Linked DNA regions of Macaca fascicularis. The protein of the gene in region 5 interacts with the protein of the main gene of each other region in a biochemical or structural test. Links are inferred from orthologs where the notes say so. Each region holds a gene or a part of one and is shown on either strand. Other genes may lie near its edges. The genes, in order: MEX3C, SSR4, RPL22L1, SLC25A3 and PTEN.

Region 1 (4,241 bases), on a different chromosome or scaffold from region 5:
TCCACAGTTTTTCAATCTCCATTTGTTAAACTCCTTCCTACCCATTTTCCAAGGCCCTCCACGGTAGATGTTCTCCTATCTGATACTCTGTCACACTAAATATAATATAGTTAGTGCCATTCTACTGTTTATTAGACTGTTATCTTCTTAAGGGCAGAAAGTCTGAATTAACTTCACACTCTCAACTCAATACCACAAACTCAACACCTGGCAAAATACATGCTTGGTACATGGCGATTCCTCAGTGTTCTCACATGAATGGTCAACTCATTCTGATGCAAATTGAGATGTTGTAATTTTATCCCATGTAAATAAAAGTTTTATCCTGGATTAGTACTCTAAGTATCGTCAAAACCAAACAAACCAGGTATTTGAAACTCATTAACCAGAAGAACAACACACATAAGCTACCTCTCAATTGAAAGGTCCAGCTTTGAACAGTGTTGGTAAGTGCCAATCATCAGGCAGTCTGAAATAAGCTATCTCCTTTATCCAGATTTCATATGAGTTTTTATTAAAATCCTACAGATAGGAAAGAAATGAGCCAACTCTGATATGTGAAACCACCATTTCGACAGACCTCTTATTTATGTGTACTTTAGACCACTTGGGAAAGATGAGATCATTTAAGCAGCAGCGCCATCATCTCGCTTTATTTGACCCCAACAATGCTCTCAACCTAACAGTAAAGAGGCATGCATCAACCAGGCTAAACCATATTGTCATGCGGTGGCAGCAGGTAACATCTGCCCCTTTCATAAAGGGAAAAAGCTCCCATAAAGAACTTAGGACCTTCCCTAAAAATGTCGGATACAGAGGTACCCCAAGCATCTCCTTCCCCCACCTTCACAAATCTACTCCTGGAATCTGAGACATAGGTCCTTTGTCTGAACAATGTGGGAGGAGTCTGTCTGCAGTACTGGTGTGCTGACAAGTGAAGAGGAGAATTAACTGAAAACTGTATAAACACAGAAGTTTCTTAATTACCTTAGTGTCCAATTTTTCTTCATCCTGCACACCGAACAGTTTCAAAAGACAGCCAGTGTGTCAGTGTGTCTTTCCAAGACTTGAAACGTATCGAGAGGAATACAGTAAGATCGGCGGCAGTGAGTTGGGCTGCTTTTCCAAAGCTGTTTCTGAACAGCGGAGAGGCAGGGGATGGCGGTGATACCGACCATTTGAACATCCCTTCCCTCCCCAGTGAGCTCTGTCTACAGGCCTCCATTTCTGTCCTTTTCTCCATCTGAACAAGTTCTTGTAAGGGAGGCTGAACGCTTTAAAAAGAAGACACTCGGCGGCGCAAACTTGCAATCTCGAAGGTTTCCGTACCCAAGAGCGAACCCACAACTCCTCGAGCCCGACCTTTTACCACCTCACTGAGGTTTCTGGTGCCACGCCAGCCTGGTGTTCCACGAATACAGCCCAAGTAACGTGAACACCACCGGACTGGGTCGCCCGAAAAACTTCACACTTTTTACCAGGCGAGACGAGCGAAAAAGCGTGGGTTTTCGCAAGGTGACCCATCTTCACATCTGGTCGACCCTCGGCTCCTCCCAGACCCCTTCGGGGTGGATCTGGGGGCCTCGCCGGGTTCGCCCTTTCCGTCCCATGCTCATTTCTCTCGTCTCCCCACCCACGCCCGGGGCCATGCCCAGCTGGACCTCCCCACCCCTGCACTCACCCTGGCGGCCGACGATCTCGGCGACGTGCTCGGAGCTGGGCACCGGGACGCACTCGGTGGTGTTGACGCTCTTTCTCCGGAGCAGGGCCGCCTGCTCCCCGTTCAGGGCGGCCGCCGCCGCCCCACAGCCGCCGGGGCCGTAGGCATGGGACAGCATCGCCGCCATCATGCCCTGGGCATCGTCCCCTCCGTACAGCACCCCCGCCGCCGCCGCCGCGGCCGCCGCCTCCCGGGCATCGAAGCCGGCGGCGGGCAGCAACACAGACCCCAGGGACCCGCCTGGGATCGGCTGGGTCTGAGAGGCGGTGGCCGCGGGCGGCGACAGCAGCAACAGCGACGACCGGTCTTCCTCCTCTGCTTCCTCCAGCTCCTCCTCCTCCAGCAGGTCTCCGTCCAGCTCTGCTTCCTCCCCCTCCTCCTCGTCCTCTTCCAGCTCCAGCTCGGCCGCCTCCGGGGCCCCGGGCCGGCCAGGCGGAGCCCGCTCCTCTGGAGACAGCCCCGCCGCCCGCCGGGCCTGGCCCTGCGCCGCCGCCGCCACGGCTCGAAGCGCCGGAGCACCGGGATCCGCCGGGCTGGGGTCGTCGAGGCCTAGCGCGGCCAGGCGCTCCCTCAGCAGGAGCCCGTCCCCCTCGAGCTCCGGGCCGCCCGAGGGCGGCGGCAGAGGCGGCGGCGGCGGCGGCGGCGGCGGGGGCGGCTGCGGCAGGGGCGCCGGGGCCGCCGCCAGGGCCAGGGCCGCGGAGCTGCCGCTCGGCATCGCGGCGGCGCGCTGTCAATGGCGGCGGCGGCGGCGGCGGCGGCCGGGTCAGGCGCAGCAGGCGGCGAGCCCCATGGCGGACAGGGCCAGGGCCCTGCTCAGCGCGCAAACACCTTTCCTCTGGGGAGGCGGTGGGGCTGGGGACCCGGGCCGTGGAGCGCCAGGGCCGCCCGGAGACCGGAGAGGGCGGGGTGGAGGGGCAGGGGAAGGAGGCAAAGGTAGGTAACTAGGTGGGTGGGTGGGGACGGCGGCGGGGCGGGCTGGTGGAGGTGGCAGCGGCTCCCTCTCAGGGTTTCTTTTGTTTCATGGCCTTAACCAGCCCCCGGCGCGCGCGGCGGCGGCGGCGACGCCCCACGCCGCTCTCCGAATGAAGCCGGCGCGCTCTGATTGGGTGTTTTTAATCTCTGGGAGCCCGCCTTCTCCTCCCGCAGCCTTCCAACTCCTTTCCCCAGCCCCACCCCCCACCCTCCTTCGGGCCCCGCCCCTCCCCTCCCCAGAGCTCTCTGATTGGGTGACCGGGACCAGCCAGCTCCCGAAGCCCACTCCTTCCGTCCTCTCCCCGCCCACCTCCCTCTCCATTCCTCCCGGCACGCGCGGAGAGGGACTGTGATTGTTCACTTTACACGTCACTCTTTGTGACGTCTCCGGCGGGGGCGGGAAAAAGGAGGCGGATGAAGGCGCTGCTGCAGAGGCTGAAACTAAGGGCCAAGCGGGGTTTTGGCGCAGGCGCCTGCGGTCGAAGCGCACACCTGGATTTGTTTCCCCCCAACCCTTTATCCCTGTAGCCGGTCTGGCTGAGTTCTTTCAGGGAAGGCACTGTGTGAGCGGCCTGGAGCAGAGCTGCAGGCGCAGGTTCGAGGGCATTGTTTCCTCGGGTTGAGGATGAGATCGCCCCCTTCAGAGGAAGGGCCTTAAGAAGAGTCATGGAAGGAGGGGCCACGCAATATCCTCCTATCCCCTCGCGGGGGCGGTTTCCTGAGCCGCGTGGCTCCCGGGCCTTCCCTCTCGGACCCGGGAATGCTCCTCCCTCGTGGCCTGACGCTCCCAACGCCCCGTTGGCCCGGCTTTTCTGCCGGCAGGGTGGTTACATCAGCAGCCTGCAGGTGCTGAACTTTAGCTCTTTGGGGCCTTTTTTTTTTTCTTTTTGAAACGGAGTCTAGCTCCGTCGCCCTGGCTGGAGTGTAGTGGCACGATCTTGGCTCAACGCAACCTCGCCTCCCGGGCTCAAGAGCTTTACAGGGCGCGGTGGCTCACGCCTGTAATCCCAGCACTTTGGGAGGCTGAGGCGGGCGGATCACGAGGTCAGGTCAGGAGTCCGAGACCAGTCTGATCAACATGGTGAAACCCCGTCTCTTCTAAAAATACAAAAATTAGCCGGGCGTGGTGGCGCACCCCTGTAATCCCAACTACTCGGGAGGCAGAGGCAGGAGAATCGCTTGAACCCGGGAGGTGGAGGCTGCAGTGAGCCAAGATCACGCCACTGCACTCCAGCCTGGGCTACAGAACGAGACTCCGTCTCAAAAAAAAAGTTTTTCCTGTCTCAGCCTCCCCAGTAGCTGGGATTACAGGCACGTGCCACCACGCCCAGGTAATTTTTGTATTTTTAGTAGAGACGGAGTTTCACCATGTTGGCCAGGCTGGTCTCGAACTCTGACTTCAAGTGATCCGCCCGCCTCGCCCTCCCACAGTGCTGGCATTAGAGGCGTGAACCACCTTGTCCAGCTCTCTGGTGCTTTTAAAGAAATGAATCCCCGTTTCCTCCTCCCTAGACACTCTTCCCACAGTATTGCTCAGGTGATCTCCCTC
Region 2 (4,212 bases), on a different chromosome or scaffold from region 5:
AGAGCCATGTTCTGGGTGAGGAGACAAAGGCAGGGTCACCTTCTGCCTTCTCTGGGTGTGGGCAGAGGAACCCTGTGTGCTGCTCACACGGCCTGCAGATGGGTAGGCTAGGCCCAGTTGGGGGCTGCAGTGTCCCTGGCAGGAGGTTCCAGGTAACACTCACCAATCCTGTGACTGGCCCTCTGCATCGGTCTTCCCTACGGAGGCACAGGGCTAGATCCCCATGGTCGGACCTAACTGGACGCATAGGAACCTTGTTGACTGTGAGCAGGGGCGGGATGATCAAAAGGGCCGAGTGATTTTCCTGAGTCTACAAGGGAGGTGCTGGGGTCCGGGATGCCCAGTGGGCTGCCCAAGGGGTGCTTTACCCTAAGAGAGCCATACCCAAAAAAAAGGCCCCATTTCCTTCTTTGGACTTTTGGGAACGTAGGTCAGGGGCCAAGGCCAAGGCTCCTCAATCTTGAAGTTAAAACACCCGAAATCCTGTCTCTACCAAAAAATACAAAACTTAGCTGGGCATGGTGGTAAGCGCCTGTCATCCCAGCTACTCGGGAGACTGAGGGGAGAATCTCTTGAACCCGGGAGGCGGAGGCTGCAATGAGCCAAGATCGTGCCAATGCACTCCAGCCGGGGCAACAGAGTGAGACCCTGTCTCAAAACAAACAAAAAACAAAAACAAAGACAAAACACCCACACAGACAAACTGGCCAATGGCAACGAGGGTGGGCTGCCCTTTCTCCCGGTTCAGATACTCATTCGGGACACAGGTTGTGAGCCCAGTGTTACCTCGTGTAGGCACAGCACACAAAGCAGGTGAGGAAGGTGACCTGTCAACACTGGCTAGGATCTGGCATCGCCGTGCCCTGATCTCTCCAGCACCCCAAGAGTTGGAATCTCTGTTGACACGGGTCCCCCATCAACTGGCAGTGAGGAGCACCCCCACCCGCCCTCCTGTCTGAAACCCCACTGTCTCACCTGGACCCTGTTCTTGCATGTCAGGGAGATCTCCACAATAAAGACAGTCTCGGTGGAAATGACAGCGTCAGAAGTGGTGTAGTAGGAAGGGGTGATCTGGGGCTCCAGGCAGGCCTCAGCTGCAGGGAAGAGGGAGAGATGCTTGGGTAAGGCCAGCTCGAGTATCCCAGTCTGAGGGCAGGATGGCCGGGCCCTGCCTCACAGCACGGATCAGCTGAGGACGCACGGGATCCTCCTGTCCCTTCCAGGTGGGATCCAGACAGATCCAAGTGCTCGGTCACAAATGCAGTGGCAAGGTAGGTGGGATGGCTGTGAAAGCAGACTGGAGAGGGGCAAGGCCGGCTTTCTGGAGGTGTGCAGGAAGAGCGAACGCGTGTGCTGGGGACAGGTGGGCGCTGGATTCACTGGACAATACATGCCAACGCTTGGACCTATGACACGGAGGCCAGGGGGCCAGGCCAGCCTCCATTCAGAACCACAAACGGCCTGGACGGGTTACTGAAGGCATCCTCAGCAGAGACATCAGGGGTAGGGCTGCAGGCAGGCAATGCACTGCCCCAGCGTTTCCTGAGGAAGTCATCAGGAGAGGCTCTGCTTCCAGAAGCACAACTTGTCAGCTGTGAGAGAAAGGACTCTGCCTTAGCCTTCTCCATAACCACAGAGGCCCACAGGAAAGACAGGCTGCCGCCTACATCAGAGGGTGTGAAACAAAGGCTCCCCAAAATGGGAACGTTCTCAGTCACCAGCTGTCCAAATGTGATGCTCCGGCAGAATGACGGCTTCAGCAGAGGACGTCAGAGAAGGCTCTGGGTCCGGACCAGAGGAGGCAGATCCGTAGGAACAGCATGGAGGCCGCTCTCAGGGGCCAGATCCTACCAGCCTTTCTGTGTCCTGCCTAAGTTGGGCCTGCTTCCTGTGGCGCAGGGGAGCCCCCGAAAGGGTTTTATGGCCAGGCTTGTCCTCTGGATAAGTCCCTGGCTATAACTCAGGGAATTCCTGAGGGGCAGACAAGAGGGTGCGGGCAGGGAGGCCAGTTAAGCTGGCAAAACGTTGCAGGCAGCAAGGCTACTGGCCTGAAGGACGGCAGAAAAGGGAATGTGCAGAAAGCCACCCCTGTCCAGTCCTGGCCCCCGGGCCCGGGACTGGCTGCTGCAGCCACCTCCTAAACACACTCTGGAGCCTCAGACCCTCATGAACGCAAATCGACGGGACCCCTGGTAGGCTCTGCCGAAAACTCTGGTAAGGGTAAGGCAGGGCCCTCCGGAAAGGCCAGTCTTCGGCCTGGCACTCAAGGTCCTGCGCACCTCTGGCTCCCCATCTAACTCGCCCCGTTCTTGCTCCCTCTCCTCACTGAGGTCCCTTCCTAGCTTATGTGGTTCCTCCAGCCCCGTTTTTGACCGCGATCGCTCAGCACTACAGAGCTTCGTTCTGGTCCGACCCCGCGGGGAGCGGGAGCGGGGACATGTGTCACGTTCCGTGCTGGAGCTGGGGGCCGGGCGCACGGTGGAGGCTCCGGGACTCCTCTTCGTATGGGCAGACAAGGAAAAGCCTGGCTGCCGGTAAACGTGCCCGAGGTGCTTTGGTCCCCGCGTCCCAAGGCCGCCTGCCTCTCGGAGGAAGGCCCGGCTCTCAGCGACGGACCCCGAAAAGCCAGACCCCCGCATCCCTCCTCCCCTCAACACCACGTGGGGTGGGTCAGAGGCTCGCCAGAAAGAAGCCCCGACTGGGCCGCTACCTGAGCAGCGGGAGAGGCTGGACAGCAGGAGCAGCGCCAGGGCGCCGAGATATGCCATCGCCGCCATCGCCTCTTCTCTGCCTAGAGGAAAAGAAAACGAGCTCCCATGAACACGAGGGGCAAACGAGGAAGAGCGACGCGTAAGTGACAGCGGCAGCCAATCGTGCACCGAAGGGCCGGGCCGGCATTGTGACGTCTCTGGCAGCACTGACGTGGCCCCTCCCCGAGACAGGGGCCCAGCTGGTCGCGATCCCCCATCAACATGGCGGCAGCGGCGCTCTAGGCGCCGGAAGGGGGCGTGGGAATCGGTGAGACCGCGCGCGTGCGCAGTACCGGGCCCGCGCCGGTCCCCGAAACTTCGCACCCCGTGGAACTCTCGCGAGAGCGGTGTCTGCGTGACGGGACGTGCGGAGGCTCTCACTTTCCGTCATGGCGCTGAAGGTAGCGACGGTCGCCGGCGGCGCTGCGAAGGCAGTGCTCAGGCCAGCCCTTCTCTGCCGTCCCTGGGAGGTGAGCAGGGAAAGGGCCACGGGGCCGCGGCAGCGCTCGCAGGGGAGCGGTGGGGTAGCCGCTCCCGAAGCAGTCTGGAGTCCGATTGGCTAGGAGAGGGCTGCGCGCCGGGGTTGATTGGCCGCCTCCGCTGTCACTGAGGGGATTGGCCGAAGTTGGCCCTGGGCCGGCTCCCCCAGGGCGTCTGCATCGGGTGGCGGGGGGGGGGGTTCCGGACGGGCCGGGAGAGTGGGCCACGGCGGCTGTCACCTCCTTACTGTCCTTGAAAGAGCCCTTTGACGCAGTCACTCACGTATCCCGGCCCGCCTTTCTCAAACCGCTTCGGGAATCCGGTTCCGGGACTCAAATTTCTCCATGGGTTCCCGTCTCGTTGACCGCTTTGCCACTTGTCCCGGTGGCAAAGAACCGGACTTTGCCAGTCATACCCCATCCTCCCACAGTCTTAGAGCCCCAGATGCCTTCCCCCCGAGGCGCCTGGAATGGGAAGGAGCTAGGGTTTCTCAGGCTGCGGGGGTTTTGCTTCTGCTCTTCTTGGTCTGCGGTCTTGCGTATTCAGGTCTGAGTCCTTTTTCCTTACGCTTATTTAAGAAGAGGTTAATTTAGGTCCTAGGTGGGCTGGAAACCATCTGAAGCAGCTGGCCCTGATGGGTAAGAGGTTTGGCCTCTAGGCCATGCTCCCCCACTGACCCAGTGCGTGGCCTTAGGCCAGTTTCTCCTCTCTCTGGGTTACAGTTTCCCCTTTGGAACCCAGAGGGGAGACTTCATGTTTTCAAAGGATCCTGTCAACTCTGACCTTCCAGAACTCCGTGATTTTGTTGCCACTCACCAGGGACACCTCTACTTGCTGTTTTCTCTTTCTGGCCTCTGGGGGAGATGCTTGTGCCTAATGAAATTCTCTTGACAATGCCGACTTCTCCTACCTTGCTGCTGAAAGGACGGCAGCATATAGTGGCTTTCCAGAGGCTCTGATGGCTCTAGCAACTGGGCTCCTG
Region 3 (3,981 bases), on a different chromosome or scaffold from region 5:
CAGTTCTTACTTTCTGGGGGTCATTCTTCAAATTAACAACAAAGTCCACCCCATCCCATACCCCTACCCCTAGGTATGATAATTTCATCTCCACGAAAACGTATTACTGCTAAACTCAAGGGGTTTAGCATGCCACCCTTCTAATCTGATGTCAATTTACAATCCTTCAAAGCTCAAAAGCTACTTTTTCCTTTTGTCAGCAAGACACTTCCACCTTCGTATGTCTTGTACATACTGATAGGTCACAGCAAACATTCATTGAATTTTAACTGGGGAGCATTTTGGATGGAAATCAAGAGACCTGGGATTAACTCTAAAACCCATGATAAATTATACCAAACGAATGAACAGGAAGCAAGCACTACGTGTTTTTCTCTTTAAGACAGAGTCACGCAGGCTGGAGTGCAGTGGCAGATCTCGACTCATTGCAACTTCCTCCCCCCAAGTTTAGCAATGTTCCTGCCTCAGGCTCCCGAGTGGCTGGGAATACAGAAGCGCACCACCACCCGGGCTAATTTTTTTTAAATTGTTTGTAGAGACGGATTCTCCCTATGCCTATGCTGCCAAGGGTGGTCAGGAACTCCTGGGCTCAAGAGATCCTCCGGTCTCGGCCTCCCAAAGTGCTGGGATTACCGGTGTGGGCCACCACGCCCATATATATATATAAATGCTTTTTTTTCCGAGGACCTGGTCCCCGAAGAACCGATTTCCCTCAACAGTCATTTAGAAAACGAGGACCACAGACAAAACACAAATAGAAATAACTTTTTGGCTGGAGGAGTATAACTGCAATAAAAGAGGAGATCCCAAAGCAACCTGAGACACTGTCTTGCCCTGATTGGAAAGGGGATTCCGGTGATTAGTGAAAGATGACCCCTGCATCCCTCGCGTGCGTCCGTATCCGGGAGCAGCCACTTGGTAACTGTAGGGACCACTGCGATCAATCAGCTTGTACAGCCAGGAGCAGAAACCCGGGAGTCAGTTCAACCACCGCCACCCGCGTGCGCCCGCGGAAAGCCGATTCCGTACTGGCGTCCGGCCGCGCACTGGTTTCCTAGGTTACCGGCCTCCGCGCTCCTCCTGCTTTCTTTTCCTGGAGGCGACAATCTGACGTTCTCAGCGCGTGACGCAGCACGCTTTGGTATAAATACAGACCGCTCGGTCGTAGGTTTCTCTCTGCTCGCGCGGCCGATTCGCAAAATGGCGCCTGTGAGTGAGCGATGTCTTGGTGGGAGTGTTGTGCGGCAATTTAATGATTTTTGCTGTAACGAATTTTGCATCTGTCGAGTGGGGACGTCTCAGTCGAGATAAAGGGAGGGGAGTAGTGGAGGCTGGGTCAGAAACACAACCAAAACGCGAGGATCCTGAATTGTTTTTCGAGACTCCTGGCATCTGCCATGCGGTCTAGTGGAGTTGGAGCTGGGCTCGGAAATGGTTTAGAATGGGTGGTTTTGGACACGTGGGAAAGAGGGAGGCACAGCTGTAAATTGGCCGGTGGTACTGCAATCTGAGCCATTTATTTACTGCCTTGCGCCTGATAATGCTTTTGCCACTCTGGACTGGGTAGGAGAAAGGTGAGTAATCCGGCCGGTCTGACGACCTGTGCCCCAGGCCAGAGGGAACTCCGAGGCGCTCAGCTCCCGCGATGGCCGACATCACGGAAGTTTCTGAGAACTTTCAGTTGGGGAAGAAGCTCCTCTGTGAAGTAATTTTTAGAAAAGTAAAAGCCTAGATTCCGGCAATGTGAAATGAACATGCTTCAGATATTGTACTTAAGTCATTAGTAAGGGAACCAGTAAGATGTTAAAATGTTCCTAAGAATATCTGAAAAGCTAGGTATATATGCGTAATTTACAGAAAAAATTAGGATAAAATTGCTGGGCTAGCTACAAAACTGCGTAATGCCCAGCATGGCCATAAACCCTACAGGGTTATCTGTTCCATTAGACAGAAATTGTTTGTGTCTCCCAAATTAACTTCTGCGCCAACTGAGTGATTTTCTTTTGGTACATGTTACCGTGCTACCTGAGAAAGCAAACTAAGGTGTAATACTTGGTAGCCATTTGGGTGGATCTAAATTGGAGGTTATCATCTGATAAATACTGATTTGTTTATATTCCAGTGAATGTACATGGTTACTGGCTACCGCAACATTTTGCTTATGTAGCCATATAATATGGTCTTGGTATAAAAGGTTTGGATATGGAAAATTTAAGTTCCACGGTGTTGGCTTTTCTTTTTTTTGAGACAGAGTCTGTCCCCCAGTTCGGAGTACAGTGGCATGATCAGGCTCACTGCAACCTCCGCTTCCTGGGTTCAAGCAATCCTCCCGACTTAGCCTTCTGAATAGCTAGGATTACAAGCATGCATCACCACACCTGGCAAATTTTTGTATTTTTACTAGAGATGGGGTTTCACCATGTTGGCCAGGCTGGTCTCAAACTCCTGACCTCAAGTGATCCTCCTGCCTCAGCCTCCCAAAGTACTGGGGCCGCGCCTGGCCTTTATTTGGTTGTTTTTAAAAATTTTTTTTCTTTCTTTTTTTTTTTTTTTTTTTTTTTTTACCGAAGTCCTCTTCCCTTGCCTATAACAACGTAAGAATTGAATTTCCTAGACATAGATGGATGGAATCCTAGCTCTGGCACTTAACTGTGCTTGGGCTAGGAGGTTTACTAATCTATTTCCATCTGCAGTGGGGTGGCAGTAAAGCACGATAGTTTAAAATTGAACATCGGTGGTATGGAAAACAATGAAAGTCCATAACCTTTTGACAACTTGAACATATTAGGACTTGGTTAGAGGTTCACATCAATCCCGGGTCGGTGGGGTTTTTTAATTTTTATTTTTGTTACATTTCTGTATATGTAACCTCACAGTACATTGTACGGATTGCATTGGTACAAACTTTAAAATTGTTTATACCAATTGAATAAATTGTTTTATATAGCTACATAATTATTTCACATTTATGTAGCAGAAAGACAAGAAGCCCAAAAGGTCAACCTGGAAGTTTAATTTGGACCTCACTCATCCAGTAGAAGATGGAATTTTTGATTCTGGAAATTTTGTAAGTATCATTCTACTTGGCTCATTTTTATAATCCGAGTTATTTATAGTGGTTTAAATATGTAATATTTGATAATAACCTAAGCTCTATTCCTAGGGTACCTTCCCTAGTGAATATCTAGGGTTCTCTTCCCTAGTTGTGCATTTTTTCTGTTTTAAAATAGGAGCAATTTCTACGGGAGAAGGTTAAAGTCAATGGCAAAACTGGAAATCTCGGGAATGTTGTTCACATTGAACGCTTCAAGAATAAAATCACAGTTGTTTCTGAGAAACAGTTCTCTAAAAGGTTGGTACCTTTGCAAATTTTAATAAAATTATAGTAGTTTTTGGAATATTTCATAGAATATGTAATTATTACGCGTATTCTGTTTATATGCAAGAATAAATAAGAGCTTACTAAAGGCCTACATAAATGGGAAATTCAGTAAATGAGTGCCAGTTGCTGATTCTAGTTGTAAGTGTAATTTATTGCTAGAATATAGGGCAGTTGTGTCCATGGTCCCGATCCCGTAAATTACAGGCCCTGTAAATCCAAGTTGTATATAACCTTTAATGCTGAGTACTTTAGTATTTGAGTGTGTTAAAAGAAACATGTCTAATGTGTACATACGAGGATTGTCTCAATGATACAAACCTTTTCTTACAATTTTTTAAGGTTTTAGTTATTTATTCAGGAGAGGTAGCTGATCAGAGGCAAAGTCTTAACATCTTGCTGCCAGTTTTTATTTGTTCAATTTATTCACCATATATTAAATACTTCATGGGCAGCATAGGACTGGGTAACTGAACAGCGAACCAAGCAGGCGGTTTAACCACCACCAAGAAACTTCTAGTGGAGAAGGGAGAGAGTGAAATGGAATTAATCAAGCAGTGATAAGTGCTGTAAGGGCATAAAGCTAGTTGCAAAGTTTTGGG
Region 4 (4,185 bases), on a different chromosome or scaffold from region 5:
ATTCATTTCTCTTTTAGGTAAATAGACTTCTAATCCTGTTTGGAACAAATAAATTTTTGATGTCTTGTTTTTGTTTCAATAATCTTAATTAAAAGATATTGAAATTATTTTAAAATGTTATGTAAATATACAAAAGGCTAATCTGACAAAATTTTCATACTAAGGCATTAGAGCATTTTAAATAAATCTACATGTGCTCTTTGCCTTGGTCTTATTAGTAGATAAAGGACATCGTTACCTCACATAATACACAGACTTGTTTACCCACTCCAACACACAGGTGCTTATAAAACGACTATTTGGGGCACAAGTAAGCTTGAAGAACTCTGGCCAGAAAGTGAAGAGCAGCAGCAAAGAGCCATCTACAGCCAGAGTCTAAGAGTGAATAATTTACTCCAACAATAGAGGCATTTATTGGATTTAAAACACTAGTTAAAATAAAGCCCACGATTTAAAGAAATTTTAGTTTGGTTTCCTACTGAAGTTTCTAGCAGTTGTGATGTCTTCAAATTCTCATTTGGGAAGCGCTTTAAGATTTTATTTAAAGTTAAGTCACATGAAAGATACTTTCAATGTTGTCATCTCAATACAAACCTGCATACGGCATTTCACTAAATCCAGGGGAACGACAGCAGTGTGTGTCAGACCACAACTTAAGACCCCACCAAAGCCACACAGTGCATAATACTTCGCGGAGCCAAATTCACAACTGTACTCTGTAGTAAGAGAAGACACACCATGCATTTTAATATAAAACTCATGTTACTGGTCATAAACTTACCTCCTGGACAGTTAGGTTTCCACACAGCTTGTTAGTAGATGACTATATCTTATAACTTAACAGTCAGTCATGCTTCAATATGCTCTAGTCCAGCATGCAAAACAAACCTGCATTCTGCATTTAACCAGATCTAGAGGAACCAATGCTGTATGTGTTGTGCCACAGCTAATAATTCCTCCAAGTCCACAAAGGATAAAGAATCTGCCAGATCCATAGTCACAGCTATACTGCTCTGTTTGATTGGAAAAAAAAAAAAAAATGAAGTAAGTATTTCTTCAGAGATGACTAAGGCCACTGGAATGAAAGAAAACTGTTTCCCTGTTAAAATAGTATTATCACAGCTGAATAGCTTTGGCCAATTAAGTGGCTTAAAAAAAAATTCACTGCCAAAATCAGATCATTTAAAAATTATGAGGGTTCTGTATCTGATACTATTAACAGCTTGGATTCTGCCATATTCATTTTTTAAAAAGTTTTCTACATTAACGGCTTTTACAATTAAAGTCAAACTTCAAATTATTAACCACTGGTAAGAGCACACTTCAGAGTACAAATGAAACTCAGAAAGATCACCCGACGTGTAAAAGGCTTGCAAACAACTTCAAAGTTTATCCTAGCCACTAACCAATACTATCCCCACTTATGAACTCCTATAACATAAAAACAGATACACATAAATTCCTGCAGTCATATACATTTAATACACAAATAATGTTAGCTTTAATTTTAAACTGAATGACAGATAGTGTAAGTAAGGATTCTTTATCCATACTAAAGACATAACAGAAGCACATGAGTGATTTAAAGAAAAAAATCTTTCGATTTTACAGGCATAAGGTAGATAACATTCTCAGGACTCCTACAATTCGATTTTCAGGTTTCTCTGTATGTACACACTTCACTAGGATTTAAAACACACACAACCAAGTTAAAGCTGGGCCCAACCACAAAGAATCGCAAGAGATAATCACACCAAAGGGATGCCCACCAATTATCTCCTTTTTATTGCCTATGTAGTGCTGCAAGCTGCCTCCTCCAGTCGCATGAAAACAGGAGATCCAGTTATCTCATATATAATTAAGTGCTAAAATGACGGACCTGGCGTCGACGAATATAAAACTTAGGAAAGGACTGTTCAAGAAAACTAAGGGCAAATCAAAGGACAGGTGATACAGTTAGTAGAACTGTGGGTGGTCAGTAGTTTGGGGAAGAGACTTTACCCAATACTTAGTTGGCTGACCAAGCGGGCTCACGGCAGAGAAGATAAGGAGCTAGTCGCGGCCTTTTTTCCCTCGGGGACATGGAGGTCACGAAGGGACACAGGGCCTCAGCCCTTCCACGCCCTTGAGGGAGGGCCAAGGATCTGACACCCGCCTAGGGTGGAAAAAGACGATATCCCAGGGCAAGCAACTGGGCGCCGTCCTACGGTGCAGCGGGCTGGACTCGTCCTTCCCTGTCCTCCAAGCCGGGTCCAGGCCTCAAACGCTGGGCAGACCACGAATAGACCACGACTGTATCAGGCAAGGTCTGATCTCACCTTCCACGGCGGCGGCTGCCAGGTTGCGAGGGCGGCGGGGCTGGCCAGTGGGCCCGGGTGGGTTGCTGCGGAGGTCCCCGAGGCCATCGTGCAGCAACTGCAGATGTGGCGTGTTGAAGGGGTTCGCCCGCGCCAGGTGCGCCACGGACGAGAACATCTTTCTAGGGGAAGAGGGAGCGGCGGTGAGATGGCAGGCAAGGCGCCGGTTAATGTTACCGGCGCCCTGGAACCCCAACCGGGCCTTTTCCTTCCCGCCTGCGCGCCCTTGAAGAGGTCACGGCGGCCTTCGAAGGAGGCTGCTCCCGGCTGGGCCCACCGCCAAAGCAGCGGCCCCACAGGGTCTCTGGGCTCCGCTCCCCACACCCGCCACAGGGGAAGGCCCGGTCACACTCACTCCCTAAGATGGCGATCACCCAACCACTCCCTTGGAAAGGTTACCGCTCACAGAGGCCGAACGTCCTCCCAGCCCTAAGATGTGTGCCCTTCGCGCGTCGTCGGCGTGACGCACACAGCGCGTCACTGCAAGCATGCGTCGCCCATTGGTGGAGAAGAGCTCCGAGCCCGTAGCGTCATCGCGTTCTCCTAGCAACCTTATCCCCGCCCCTGCCCACTCCTGCTCTTCCGGCCCGGCGTGTGCGCAGGAGGATTCGTTCTGCGCAGACGCGCGTTCCGGCTGTATATTTTTTGAGAGGGGTCGGGTTCGGGATATTAACCTGCTCGCTTTGTCCCTTCACCTTCAGGTGTCTCTTCTTGACCACAGGCTTCAGTTCGCTTCACTTAAGTGAATCACAGTATCTAGTAGTCACTTAAAAAACAAAACATGAATGCTTGATGATATATTTAGGTGTTGGAGTTAGAGAACATCACTGCAGTATTATGTGTCACAACTTCTGCCATTACAGTACTTTTTAAAATAAGTTCCATCCATTGACATTAAATATAGGTATGTCTGCATTTTTCATCAGACTTCTGGAGAATATTTTAAAAAAGAAATGTGCAGCAAGAAGTCTTACGACAGCTTGCCGCGTTATCACAATAATCTATAGAACACGTTGAAACATTGAACACCTGAGGTGTTACAGCGATGAACTAGTGAAAGTGACTGATAGCAGATTGTGCGTGTGTCTGGTTAAAACATTTAGGAAGCTTTCATTAGATTCAGCTCAACAGGGAGGGGCGTAGTTTAGTTGGGGAGAGTTTAATAGGGATTCAACCTGTTAGACTTCTGGCTCTTATATTTTCCCAGCTCTTGACAAAGTAACCTTGGGAATTTACTTCATCTCTGTGAACCTGTTCCTTAGATGTAAGATTGGGGTGGGACTGGCCTCACAGGTTCACACTGGTACAATCACACATGGCCTTACACTTAGTTTAATGCTCTGCTGATTTTGAAATTTTTCTTTTCTTTTTGTTTTTTTTTTGAGACGGAGTTTCACTCTGTCACCCAGGCTGAAGTGCAGTGACGTGATCTCGGCTCACTGCAAGCTCTGCCTCCCAGGTTCACCCTATTCTCCTGCCTCGGCCTCTGGAGTAGCTGGGACTACAGGCGTGCACGACCACGCTTGGCTAATTTTTGTATTTTTTGCAGAGACGGGATTTCATCATGTTGGCTAGTCTGGTCTCGAACTCCTGACCTCAGGTGATCCACCCACCTCGGCCTCCCAATGTGCTGGGATTACAGGCCTGAGCCACCATGCCTGGCTTGAAATTCTTAATATATGTATGAACAAGGGGCCACACATTTTTTAGTTTGCACCGGACCCTGAAAATTAGGTGGCTGGTTCTGGACTGGAGTAATACTTACCTTGCAAAGTCTATGAGAACTCAATGAGATAATGTCTAAAAGTCTACAGAAGATGTTCCCTAA
Region 5 (3,511 bases):
ATTTTTCAATATAGTCCTTAGTTTTCCGATCAAAGAATCAAGAATCTTCTATTAATCTAACTACATTTATGAATATTCTTATAAAAGAATAATTTTTATGTATTATAAAAGTTCACCCTTTACTAGGTAATGGTATTTTATCCAAAGCCATTCTATGCTCAAATAAGCTTCAGAAATATAAGCTTATTTTTGATAGCTTTTTAAAAATGTTATTTTAAAAGAATTTTATGAGACCAAATCTGCAATACAGTTAATGGGTAACATGTGCTAGTATGATATGAAAATGGTAGCATGAACAGAAAAATGAAATCAGTCATTTCTCATATAGAAATTGAGGCAGCAACTGATTTAAAAATTTAGAAGAAATAAGGATTAGCAACTATTTTTAAAACCTGTTTTCCAGGGACTGATGGTGGGGCGGGGAGGGACACAAGATGAACAAGATCTGAAGATCTACTGGACAGCACAGTGACTATAGTTAATAATAACATTGTATAACTGAAAATTGAAGCTTGTAGATGTTAAATGCTTTCACCTTGAAGGGAGAAGAATAATTATGTGAGGTGATGAATACGTTAAGTAGCTTGACTGTAGTGATCATTACACAATGTATATATACATACATCAAAAGATCATATTATACATTGTATTTATATATAATTTTTACTTGTCAATTACACCTCAATAAAACTGAAGGAAAAAAAAAAAAAACACCCAGTATCTGTTTTCCAATAAATTCTCAGATCTAGGAAGAGGAAAGGAAAAACATCAAAAAATAACTTACCTTTTTGTCTCTGGTCCTTACTTCCCCATAGAAATCTAGGGCCTCTTGTGCCTTTAAAAATTTGCCCCGATGTAATAAATATGCACAAATCATTACACCAGTTCGTCCCTTTCCAGCTTTACAGTGAATTGCTGCAACATGATTGTCATCTTCACTTAGCCATTGGTCAAGATCTTCACAAAAGGGTTTGATCAGTTCTAGCTGTGGTGGGTTATGGTCTTCAAAAGGATATTGTGCAACTGTGGTAAAAAGACAACCTCAGAATAAGAAAAAAAACTTCTGAATTTTTAATTACAAGTAGGTTAACTTTAGAAATGTTGCATACAAACTTAACAGGTATTTAAAAGAAACACTAGATTCCAGAGAAAAATAATGTATTGCTTAACTTTCTAATTTTTAAATAGAAAATAGTCTCTTGATAAGTCTCAAATATAATCATTAAGGAAGGCAAGTATTATTTTCCCCCATTTTATTCAGAAGGATATATTCTAGGAATTTACACTATATGGACTGACAGCATAGGTCACATATTAGAGGTACAGCTAAACCCAAAATGAAATGTCACATGGACATTTCATCAGGACTCTCAATGCAAAAGGAATACTATTTATAGTATTTATTTCATCATCACAAAACATATTCCAAAGACAGAATAGATTACTAATAAACTATAGAAAGAATTGCATATTACATTTCATAAAATAAAAATGCTAAGTGTGTTATTTAAAGGTGGTCTTGCAAATATTAGTGTTGTATACACATGTAAATCATTAGGGAAGCCAAGTACTATTTACCTCCATTTTCTGCAGGAGAATACATTCTGGGAATTTACGCTCAATGGACTGGTAGCATAGGTCACATACAGAGATATGTGAAGGCATACACCAAAGAAATTACTTACAAAATGTATATAATTGTTATCAAAGTTTCAGGTCTTCTCACATGAATTATAAGAGTCCAAGACTTCTCTGTTCACTATAGTCAGAGTTGAGGTTTTTAAAAAACCTTGTTTAGAAACAGGACTATAGATATATCACTATTAATTGTTCTTAATAGTTTCTACCTTAATTCCACTCTATTAAGATCCTTAAAAACTCTGATACTCAACGTACTATCCTGTGTTACCTAAATATGTGAGAAGTATGTCTTATATCTCCAATCAAGTCACTCATAATATGATACAGGATACAATCAATTATCCTTTGGTGTGACAGGACAGCTCTTCTGGTAGACAATGACTATCATTATAGGGAGTCCAGAAGGACAGCTTTCACTTAGTCATCTGCCTAACTCCATTTTCTCAGTGGTACACAAAAACCTCCAGGAAAACCTGTTAAATGTCTATTTAAAGCAACATAAACCTCAACTAAAGCCTGCTTTGCCTAGTAAGCAACAACCTAAATCCACCAAAAACAAAAACAAAACGTTCTTAGTGAATCTATACCAAATCTCAATCATGAGTGATTTAGAATTTTCAAACCATCTGTCTGAAAGTCCATTCTAGATTTTCAGGAGGGATCAATGGCAAATACATCAATAGTAGCTCATGGCACCCACTTTCTCTTTTTGACTATCACAGCGGCATCTGCCTAGCTTCTCAACTCTTCAGTTCTCTCATGGTTTAAAGTGTTAGGTCATAGAACTGAGCTGTATTTCACAAATAAAAGTGAAAGTTTTTGTGGGCTCTGAGAATTAACTTATGTCTGAAGTAGAACTCATTTAAAGCAATTCCCTCCTCTCATCCATCAGGTTTCTCTTATCAACATTTGTTATATCCTTTCCTACCTTTTATGTCATTCCTCAACACAGAAGAGTTAAGTAGTTCTGCTTTCTCCCTATAGTTGCTTACTATCAGACCTACTGCCTTAAACAGTAGGTAAACCCTCTCCTTATACTATTTTTAGTCTAGGAATTTTCCTAATTCTTAGTCTACTCTGCACTTTAGTCTTCCTGACAATATTAATAGCTTTATGCAATACTTTTTTCCTAAAAAACAGCAAAATTAAATTTTTTGAAAATTTTTAAGATACTTCTTAAGATAAATATGTATCTCACTCAATAATCTAGATGACTCATTATTATGACAGTTAAGATATAGTCTATCGGGTTTAAGTTATACAGCATAGTACAGTACATTCATACCTACCTCTGCAATTAAATTTGGCGGTGTCATAATGTCTTTCAGCACAACTAAAAGAAAAGTTTAAAAGTGATATATAGTTATCTTTTGCATTTAGGAAGAAAAAAAGTACTAATATTAACAAACATTGCCTGAATCTTTATAATGTGACACATATTATGCTGTTTAACATTAATTATTTCATGTAATAAGAATTCTATTACGTAGATACTATTATCACCCCCATATTATAATAATAAAACCAAAGCTTAAAAGATTAAGTGTATGCAATTAGAGCTAATAAATTTGCTTACAAAACTTGTGATGTCACTAATATAGAGTACTGCAAATTCAGGTGCTTCCATGCTTTCAAATTTCCTCTATGAAAAATTTGCATGCTATTGGAATTTTTTTTTTTTTTTTACAAGTACCTATAAACAACTGGCTAGTTTCAATAGTATTTGTATCTCATATTTAAGCATACATAATTCTCAAACTATTCTTCAAAAAGATATATGTTAAAAATAATAAAAGCATAAGGACAGTAAAGAAAAACTGAATGATGTTAATCTACTTGGACACAATGCTTACCAATTTTTTTTTTTCTT

Evidence for each region.
Region 1: of the proteins of PTEN (region 5) and MEX3C, one has a biochemical effect on the other in vitro, tested with the Homo sapiens proteins (2 studies listed by BioGRID). The link is inferred for Macaca fascicularis from reciprocal best matches to the Homo sapiens genes PTEN and MEX3C.
Region 2: the proteins of PTEN (region 5) and SSR4 form a complex in vitro, tested with the Homo sapiens proteins (2 studies listed by BioGRID). The link is inferred for Macaca fascicularis from reciprocal best matches to the Homo sapiens genes PTEN and SSR4.
Region 3: the proteins of PTEN (region 5) and RPL22L1 form a complex in vitro, tested with the Homo sapiens proteins (2 studies listed by BioGRID). The link is inferred for Macaca fascicularis from reciprocal best matches to the Homo sapiens genes PTEN and RPL22L1.
Region 4: the proteins of PTEN (region 5) and SLC25A3 form a complex in vitro, tested with the Homo sapiens proteins (2 studies listed by BioGRID). The link is inferred for Macaca fascicularis from reciprocal best matches to the Homo sapiens genes PTEN and SLC25A3.

Annotation. Positions count from the first base shown.
Region 1 is NC_088392.1:38,531,614-38,535,854, reverse strand, and holds the start of MEX3C (RNA-binding E3 ubiquitin-protein ligase MEX3C), read right to left. Parts: upstream 2,805-4,241; 5' UTR 2,436-2,804; coding exon 1,682-2,435; intron 1,535-1,681; exon of another isoform or gene 1-1,534. UniProt on the Homo sapiens protein: E3 ubiquitin ligase responsible for the post-transcriptional regulation of common HLA-A allotypes. Binds to the 3' UTR of HLA-A2 mRNA, and regulates its levels by promoting mRNA decay.
Region 2 is NC_088395.1:159,854,312-159,858,523, reverse strand, and holds the start of SSR4 (translocon-associated protein subunit delta), read right to left. Parts: upstream 2,809-4,212; 5' UTR 2,778-2,808; coding exon 2,711-2,777; exon of another isoform or gene 1,719-2,710; intron 1,593-1,718; exon of another isoform or gene 1,095-1,592; coding exon 976-1,094; intron 12-975; coding exon 1-11. Other genes in the region: IDH3G (isocitrate dehydrogenase [NAD] subunit gamma, mitochondrial), read left to right, coding at 3,140-3,220. UniProt on the Homo sapiens protein: TRAP proteins are part of a complex whose function is to bind calcium to the ER membrane and thereby regulate the retention of ER resident proteins.
Region 3 is NC_088376.1:82,351,038-82,355,018, reverse strand, and holds the start of RPL22L1 (ribosomal protein eL22-like), read left to right. Parts: upstream 1-1,172; 5' UTR 1,173-1,200; coding exon 1,201-1,209; intron 1,210-2,974; coding exon 2,975-3,067; intron 3,068-3,230; coding exon 3,231-3,352; intron 3,353-3,981.
Region 4 is NC_088385.1:105,587,735-105,591,919, reverse strand, and holds the start of SLC25A3 (solute carrier family 25 member 3), read right to left. Parts: upstream 2,809-4,185; 5' UTR 2,757-2,808; exon of another isoform or gene 2,713-2,756; intron 2,480-2,712; exon of another isoform or gene 2,476-2,479; coding exon 2,319-2,475; intron 1,014-2,318; coding exon 889-1,013; exon of another isoform or gene 745-888; coding exon of another isoform or gene 595-744; intron 1-594. UniProt on the Homo sapiens protein: Inorganic ion transporter that transports phosphate or copper ions across the mitochondrial inner membrane into the matrix compartment. Mediates proton-coupled symport of phosphate ions necessary for mitochondrial oxidative phosphorylation of ADP to ATP.
Region 5 is NC_088383.1:96,801,840-96,805,350, reverse strand, and holds part of PTEN (phosphatidylinositol 3,4,5-trisphosphate 3-phosphatase and dual-specificity protein phosphatase PTEN), read right to left. Parts: intron 2,975-3,511; coding exon 2,931-2,974; intron 1,024-2,930; coding exon 785-1,023; intron 1-784. UniProt on the Homo sapiens protein: Dual-specificity protein phosphatase, dephosphorylating tyrosine-, serine- and threonine-phosphorylated proteins.